Linked DNA regions of Rattus norvegicus. The protein of the gene in region 2 purifies or fractionates together with the protein of the main gene of each other region. This does not show direct contact. Links are inferred from orthologs where the notes say so. Each region holds a gene or a part of one and is shown on either strand. Other genes may lie near its edges.

What was found.
Region 1: the proteins of Rack1 (region 2) and Tnrc6c purify together in Homo sapiens (affinity purification with mass spectrometry; 3 studies listed by BioGRID and IntAct, counting the BioPlex papers as one, with this or other methods). This does not show direct contact. The link is inferred for Rattus norvegicus from reciprocal best matches to the Homo sapiens genes RACK1 and TNRC6C.

What each region holds. Positions count from the first base shown.
Region 1 is NC_086028.1:103,411,036-103,414,948, forward strand, and holds the start of Tnrc6c (trinucleotide repeat containing adaptor 6C), read left to right. Parts: upstream 1-1,285; coding exon 1,286-1,348; intron 1,349-2,356; coding exon 2,357-2,378; intron 2,379-3,913. UniProt on the Homo sapiens protein: Plays a role in RNA-mediated gene silencing by micro-RNAs (miRNAs). Required for miRNA-dependent translational repression of complementary mRNAs by argonaute family proteins.
Region 2 is NC_086028.1:33,669,373-33,673,285, forward strand, and holds the start of Rack1 (small ribosomal subunit protein RACK1), read left to right. Parts: upstream 1-1,177; 5' UTR 1,178-1,310; coding exon 1,311-1,419; intron 1,420-1,699; exon of another isoform or gene 1,700-1,767; intron 1,768-2,441; coding exon 2,442-2,613; intron 2,614-2,855; exon of another isoform or gene 2,856-2,935; intron 2,936-3,090; coding exon 3,091-3,238; intron 3,239-3,745; exon of another isoform or gene 3,746-3,813; intron 3,814-3,913. UniProt on the Homo sapiens protein: Scaffolding protein involved in the recruitment, assembly and/or regulation of a variety of signaling molecules. Interacts with a wide variety of proteins and plays a role in many cellular processes.

The DNA.
Region 1 (3,913 bases), about 70 Mb from region 2:
GGAAGCACTTTAAGCTAACTACCTGTTCTTCAACTAGAGCACATGCAGAATGCAAGCCAGTCACAGCCAGTAGCCCCTCAGCTTGTGCTCCTATTGGAAAGGAGCCCTGGGCGTGTTGATGGATGGCTAGGTGTGTGTGGACTATTGGTGCAGCAGACCTGGAGTCCGGTGTGTGTGTGAGGAGGAGTCCCATGAGAGACAGTTGGGAGGTGGCTAGTAGTAGGGACTGGAATTAGTTCAGTGCTAAGAGTGCCATTGGATGGGATGCTAGGCTGCCAGAGCCAAGGTTGCCCATGCTAAGCCTAGGCCTGTAACCAGCCAGCATCTGGGCTTCAAACCCACATACTAACCTCACAGTGCCACGGTAACAGGTGTCAAGAGGGTCCTTCCTCCTGCAACTCCCCATGGTGCTGACTGAAAGAAGGGCCAGAGCCTGTGTTACTGGGAGAGCATGGAGCCATCAGGAAAGAGATAGTGACCCCTGATGCATGCACACCACTTGGGCTAGCTATAGCACTACAGCCTAGGTGTTAGCTGTCTTCACTTTTTAAAACAGAGTTCTTCCATGTTGCATATCTTGTAATAGCTCTCCAGCTGAACAGGGCTCTGTATAAAAAGATAATCCGTGTCAGACAAACATGAAGTTAGAGCATACATGGGAATCACCTCCACAGAGCCTGATCTGTTGGATGAGTTGGATAGAAATCACAGATCATTTCTAATAGGGAGCCCCAGTGATGGCAGTCTCTGAGACAGCACTAAGTGTCCTTACTCTGTAGACCCCACACAAAGCCCTGCACTAGTCGATTTCTCCACAGTTGTGGGCAGAACAAACGAGACAGCTAAGCCACTTGACAAAAAAGCAGGGCAGCAGCTGTCATACTGGAGGGGAACCTCCATTTCTGACTCCTCTCAAAGTGGCTCTATCATGTTGATGACATTGTCTAGATCAAGACTTTGTGCACAAATAATATCCCTGCCCTGTATCCTGAGTGTGGAGTTTCAAACCCAGGGCCTCACGTACAAGGCTACAAGCACCTGAGCTATGGCGGCAGCACCCTCCTACATACAGGTTAGTCTAGGGGTTAGCCTGTGGGCCACTCTGGCCTTAAACTTGTGATTCTCCTGCCTCAGCCTCCCAGACAGCTGGAATTACAGTCCTGTGCCCTCACTCCTGGTTGCTTTTTTACTTCTTCATTGGCTTTAAAGTAGTCATCATACTAACACTGCTTCTTAAATATTTAATAGGGTAAAAGAACAGGAAACACAAGAAGAGGAACGTTTGATGGAAGAAAAGAAAAAGAAAAAGCAGGAAGACAAGAAAAAGAAGGAAGGTGCTCAGAAAAAGGTTTGCTAGGACTCCTTCCATGTCCTCCATGTCATGTCTGCATCAACATGGCTGTCTCATGTCCAAGGTTGATTCTAGTACTGTTTTACGTCAATATGCCGAGTCTGGAATGAGTAAATATAGACACTTGGCTAGTGAGGCGAGTACAGAGTGCCGGTTACAGAAGGTCTTTTCTACAGCGTCAGGCGTACTGAAGCTGTGTCCAGGGCAGCGCAGCTTCTGTGTAAAGAACGCTCTTGCTGCCTCCTGAGAATGGACCGCCCAGCCCAGCCCACCCACAGCAGCCTATCGAGACATCAGGGAGAACCAGGAAACTGACAGTATTAGAAAAGCTGGAAATAATTGTTACAGTCTTAGTAAACATTCTTTATAAATCCTTATAAATAAATAAGTTCTGTAAACCAGTTTGGAGAGATGACTCAACAGTTAGAAATATTTTCTTTTTAAAAAAATTCTGTTTTTTAGAGCTCTAATTTAAACCTTATAGTCATATTTTTTATTTTGTGGCATGTAAAATAGCCAAATTATACTACCCACCCTTGCTTTCATCTCTGTACTGAGCCGTGAGATTGGAAGGATCCTTCTAGACTGACACACAGGGAGTTCAGATAGTGTCCATTACAATGTTTGCCAGTCACTAACTTAGCACTGTCCTGTGGTCAGAGTAGGATTTTTCTCAGTAGTAAATTAGCTAAATAAAAGGTTTGCTTTTAAAATTTTAAGAATTAAAAGTTTTAGTCCCAATAGTCACTCACACTCACTTGCTTGCTCCCCCCGACCCCCAAATTAAAATGAAAGGAAAACAGAGGCAGGCAGATTTCTGTAAGACTGAGGCCAACCTGGTCTGTGCAGTAAATTGCAAGACAGTCAAGGCTCCATGTCTCAAAGAAACTAAGAAAAAAACCCTAAAATAATTAAAAGTCTGCCTATAAACCTTCATCAGTGTGGACATTGCATTCAATTGTCTCTAAAAAGTTTCTCTTTTTTTTTTTTTTTTTTTTTTTTCAGGCTGCTGATCAAAAAACCAAAGGTAAGTTTTTTTTTTTTTAAATAATATATTTTGTGAGGGGAATACTTTTTATAGTAGCTTCAAACTTTGCAATGGTGTGACTTTTGTAAAATTTATTTTATGTTTATGGGTATTTTGCCTGCATGTTTGTCTGTGCACCAAGTGTGTGCAATGTCCAAAAGGCCAGAAGAGAGCCTTGGATCTCCTAAAACCGGAATTAAGACAGTTGTGAGCCACCATGTGGGTGCCCAAAACTGAACCAGGTCCTCTGCAAGAGTATCAAGCCTGGAGTTAATTGATACCTGGTGGGTGAAAACAGAGGCTCTAACTGTCTTCTATTGTACTTTCAGTATACATTGTGAAGCTCTTCATTTATGACTGATTTTATTCTGTGTTTTTTTCATTGTCATTAGGTTAATATAAAACTGCCTAGAAAATGTCATCTGCATTTTAAACAACACTTTAAAATTTCCTTTTGATTTGATTCCCACCAAATAAGGATCAAATTCAGGAATAAGAAGACCCAAAGAAAACTGAATATTTTTAAAGCTTGAAAGTCCTTGCTGCCATCTATTTCTTGCAGTGTAGCTTGTTTCTCTCTTACTGATGGTCAGAGGCGTCTTTCTTTCCAGAGCTGGCTGGCCTGTTGTTTTGACAGTGTCGGTGGGAACACAGGCAGCTCTCAGTGGATGTAGCTCAGGCGTGCTGAGTATGCTAAGCTCAGGGAAGCTGTACTCCCAGACGCCCACCTTCATACCTGAGTCCATAGGGACGGTTAGGAGAGGCACATGCCGTGGGTCACAGAGGCCAGCTCTGTTCCATCGTGCAAGGTGCTGCTTTAATCTTCAGGTGCCACATCTTTAAAATGAGAGAAGTCGATGGATTGCTCTTGCCTGCTAGGGCTGCTGTACAGACAGATGAGCCAGCCCACACGGGAAGGGTAGTGTGGCAGCTGGAGTGTCGCTGGGGTCCAGTGGAGGGCTGTGGCACTGACTGGCATGTCCTTCTTTTGTCTTCCCGTGGACACACAACTGCACATGCAGATGCTTACATCATAAGGATTTTTGCAAAAGTTCTGTCAGCTGCTCTGTAGTAATACTTCGTATCTAGTTGGCATCTTGTAGTTTTAATATCAAAATTATGTGTAGAATCTGAACTCATAATTGAGCAGGACTTAGATTAAGTTGTTGGTTTTTCTATTAGTAAATGCAGAACTAGTGGAACTACAGCTTTGACCCTGTGTGTTAGTCCTTAGTCTTAGTTCCTAGAGATGGGTTTGCTGGTAATGGGCATTAGAAGCAGCAGGGTTCTGCTCTGTTAGAATCTTTTCAGAAGGCTCCAAAAGGACTGGCTATGGCTGTATCTGAATTTATGATCTCAAATAAAACAGTGGTTTTTACTGCCATTTATAAATGTGGGACTCGTCCTACACTGTTGATATCCTCCCCACCCCTCGTTCGTGTGTGTGTGTGTGTGTGTGTGTGTGTGTGTGTGTGTGTGTGTCCCATTTTCACAACCTGTTTCATTGTCATTTATGATTCTTTACTTCTCAGGCT
Region 2 (3,913 bases):
AGTCTTTTACATAGTGAGACTGTCTCAAAAACGAACAAACAAAAACTAAACAAGATTGAGAGATGGGGGCGGGGCACGAGGGGGTAGATGTAACTCCATAAGGCATTTTCCTCACATGTGGGAGTTCAACCCATAGCACTAAAATAATTAAATGTATCATTTAGTTCATATAGACATTAGTGGTTGGTTACCTTCCTGACCTGTGCTCCTTTTTAAAAAATATTTAAGCTGAGCAAGAGGAGCACGCATGGCAGAAAAGAAAATTCCTGACTTCAACCTGTGCACTGTGACGATCACAAGCGCACTCACACACAAATAATTTTAAGTTTTTTTTTCCTTTTTCTTTTTTTTTTTTTTAGGAGCTGGGGACCGAACCCAGGGCCTTGTGCTTGCTAGGCAAGCGCTCTACCACTGAGCTAAATCCCCAACCCCCAATTTTAAAACGTAAAGTTAAAATTTTTTGAGAGATCTGTGACATTTGGAGACACTAAATAATTCAAACAAGTGTTGAGGGGAGGGTCATCAGGTTGCTAGATTATCAGTGTTCCTCTTCTTCCCTGTCCAGGTTCACTTCTTTCAGGGCTACACAAGACGGACTAGCAGGCTTTTCTGAGGAGTGATCAGAAGCACAGAAAGGGCTTCCAATCCCCATAAATCTTAACCCAGCACTTTCTCTATAGCCTCGCCCGGCAGCGGCCCGGTTCTTGGGAGACAGAAGACATCCTTGGCAACATAGCCAGTTTAAGACTAGCCTTCACTACATGAAACCTTGCCTTAAAACAAAAAAGGCCAAATTTCGTGGCATACTCCTTTAACTGCAACTTTAATTGTACTTCCGTAAGTCAAAGTTAAAGCCGCGGTCTCCAACCGAGAACTAAACACGAAGCGGAAAGGGCGGAGCTCCGTCAGTGCCACGTAGGGGCGGTGAGCCGCTGTAGTTCGGTAATGTGCCGTTTAGCCTCACTTCTGCTTCCACGGCATGTTTTAATCTTCCGAGAAGCCTTTCTAAAAACCTGGTGCACCTGGCTTCAGAATGCATTTGTACAGCGCTGCCTGTATGTTGCGTGGCAGAAGAAACGACGATACTGCGATCTACTTCTCCAGTTCCTCCCACTTCATAGTGCAGCCATCTTTGGGCAGCAGTGAATCATGGGAATCCCCGCCTTGCTCTCCGAGTATTTCCGGTTCCGGCGGAGGCCGCTCTTTCTTTTTCTCCGCAGGGTCGCGGTGGCAGCCGCTGCGGTGCTTGGCTCCCTAAGCTATCCGGTGCCATCCTTGTCGCTGCGGCGACACTCGCAACATCTGCAGCCATGACCGAGCAAATGACCCTTCGTGGGACCCTCAAGGGCCATAATGGATGGGTTACACAGATCGCCACCACTCCGCAGTTCCCGGACATGATCCTGTCGGCGTCTCGAGGTACGGGGCTGCATGCCGGGTGAAACACCCTGTGTCCTGGTGACTGCATGTCTCGTGGCTAAGCAAGTGGCGCTCGTGTTGGCTGGCTCGGTCCGTTCCCCGACCCAGGTGTGAGTTGGGGCGTGCAGACCCGAACATGGGCCCCAACCGGGGCGACCCTTTACATATGAACGGAAACCGGGACTTGTCACGCAAGTGCACAGCATGGCGATTTTAATGCATCTCTCGCTTGCTTTCTGGAGATGTGTTAACGAAGTAATTACGTGGCTACAAGCCAGGCGGAGCAATGATGACCCCAACATGCCATCTGAGTTGCTTTGCTGAAATCCAGAGGCTGTTTCTGAGCTGCCACCGCCTGGCCCTGAACTCTAGGTGCCTTGTTCCCCAGAATTCCGGGCTTGCCCGTCCTGCCCTAGATTTTCTTTCCTTGTAACTAATGCTATTTTTTCTTTCATGATATGTCTCCATGTATTTTTCCCTCTCAGGTCCTCCCTACTTGCCCAAAATTATGTTCGTCCTCTCTCTCCTACCTAATTAATGCTAGGCTTATCGGGCTTTCTGTTGGTTTCTGTGTAAGTCGAAATGGTCGTGGCTAGGACTGTGTATGATGCTGCCGTAACTGCTGCCTTTCTGTTAACTCTCCGAGGCGGGAAAGTGTCTCTGCTCATCCTACACCCAAGTGACAGTGCTTTTGCTATTGAGTTAGCCGCATCGATGGATAAGGCTAGAGTTTGAACACCATAGACACATATAGTGTGCGCGCGCGTACACACACACACGTAGGGAGCCACATTAAATAAGTTTTTTTATGTTGAACTTAAATCTCAACTCCAGGAAGTGTGTTGCCCATCATCTCAGATTACAGCTTAGATCTACGTCTCTGTGGAATAGTGAGCCTCTTTTACTTCAAATTTGCCGTTTTTCTGCCATTTACCACACCAGTGACCTTAGGACTGTAACTTGTGCGTGGTAAGTAGTAGGTTTTGGGGGTCCTCATGAGATTTCTTTACCAACCTTTTTAGACAAGACCATCATCATGTGGAAGCTGACCAGGGATGAGACCAACTACGGCATACCACAACGTGCTCTTCGAGGTCACTCCCACTTTGTTAGCGATGTTGTCATCTCCTCTGATGGCCAGTTTGCCCTCTCAGGCTCCTGGGATGGAACCCTACGCCTCTGGGATCTCACAACGCAAGTAGCTGCTTTGGGGCCTTGGGGGAAGGTGGGCAAAAGTGAGGTAGATTCCCCAGGGTGTGGTCTTCCCTTGGTAATCAGTCCTTTTGTTTGAGGGAAGGCAACATTTTGGGGTGTTAGGCTTCCCTTGGAGCTGCTTTTTTTTTTTTTAACTGGGTACCATGGGCTATTAAGTTGTCTCGGGTTGTAAGTTGTCTTAGATGGACATTGGCAGATGGACATTGGCAGATGTAATAGAGGATCCTAGTGATGACAAGGAGACATTGTCAACCAATCCCCACAAGGGAATGAGGACATGTCCTGCAATTCTGAATGGGTTCTCTGGTACATATCAGACATGGGCTAATAGTAGGTTCTGAACCACTTGTGGACTGTGGAGTATAATAGAGCCTACAGGGTAAGGGTGGGGCTAGGAAAAGGATCTAACTGGATGGGTGAAACCTGTCTAGAAAGTGACCAGGTTCTCCCTCTTAGGGGCACTACCACGAGACGATTTGTCGGCCACACCAAGGATGTGCTGAGCGTGGCTTTCTCCTCTGACAACCGGCAGATTGTCTCTGGGTCCCGAGACAAGACCATTAAGTTATGGAATACTCTGGGTGTCTGCAAGTACACTGTCCAGGTAAAGGGGTAAGGGTGGTAGGGACGGCGTCCAGGGCTGTCTCCCACCCCCTGGGGGCTGTTTTTAGGGTGCGTTCATCACTGTGTGGTCCTGGTGGCCTCAGGTGATCTGATTCCTAGGTGTGTACTACTACCACCTGGCACTTTCTCTTGTGTATTGTTAGCCCTGTCTGGGATTTTGTTTTTAAACTTTGTGTGCCTGCTACCTTGTGACTGGACTGGCATGGGGCTCAGAGGAGTTGGAGGGATTGTTTGTTTGTGGGTTTCTGTGTAGGTAGACCTGCATGAGATCATGTGCTTCCAGACTGCTGGGGTTAAAAGGCCTTCTTTTCCCCCTTTAATCCCATATTAGGTTGAGCTGTGGAAACCCAAACCACGGCATCAGTTGGGCAGGGTCTTGGCACATGAGCAGATACCCAGATGTCTCTCATAACTGCCCTAAGGTTTAAATGATCTTAAGTCTCTCACCTATCTCCTAGAGATGTGTTTGAGGGGTTACAAGCCAGGCCCAACAGTGATGACCACAACATGCCATCTGAGTTGCTTTGCTGAAATCCAGAGGCTGTTTCTGAGCTGTGCCTGGTCCTGTGCTCCATGAGTAATGAGTGGGTGAGCTCTGGGGTCACCTTAGGACTCAAATGTCAGCAGGCTTGACAGGTGGCTTTGCCCCTGGTCT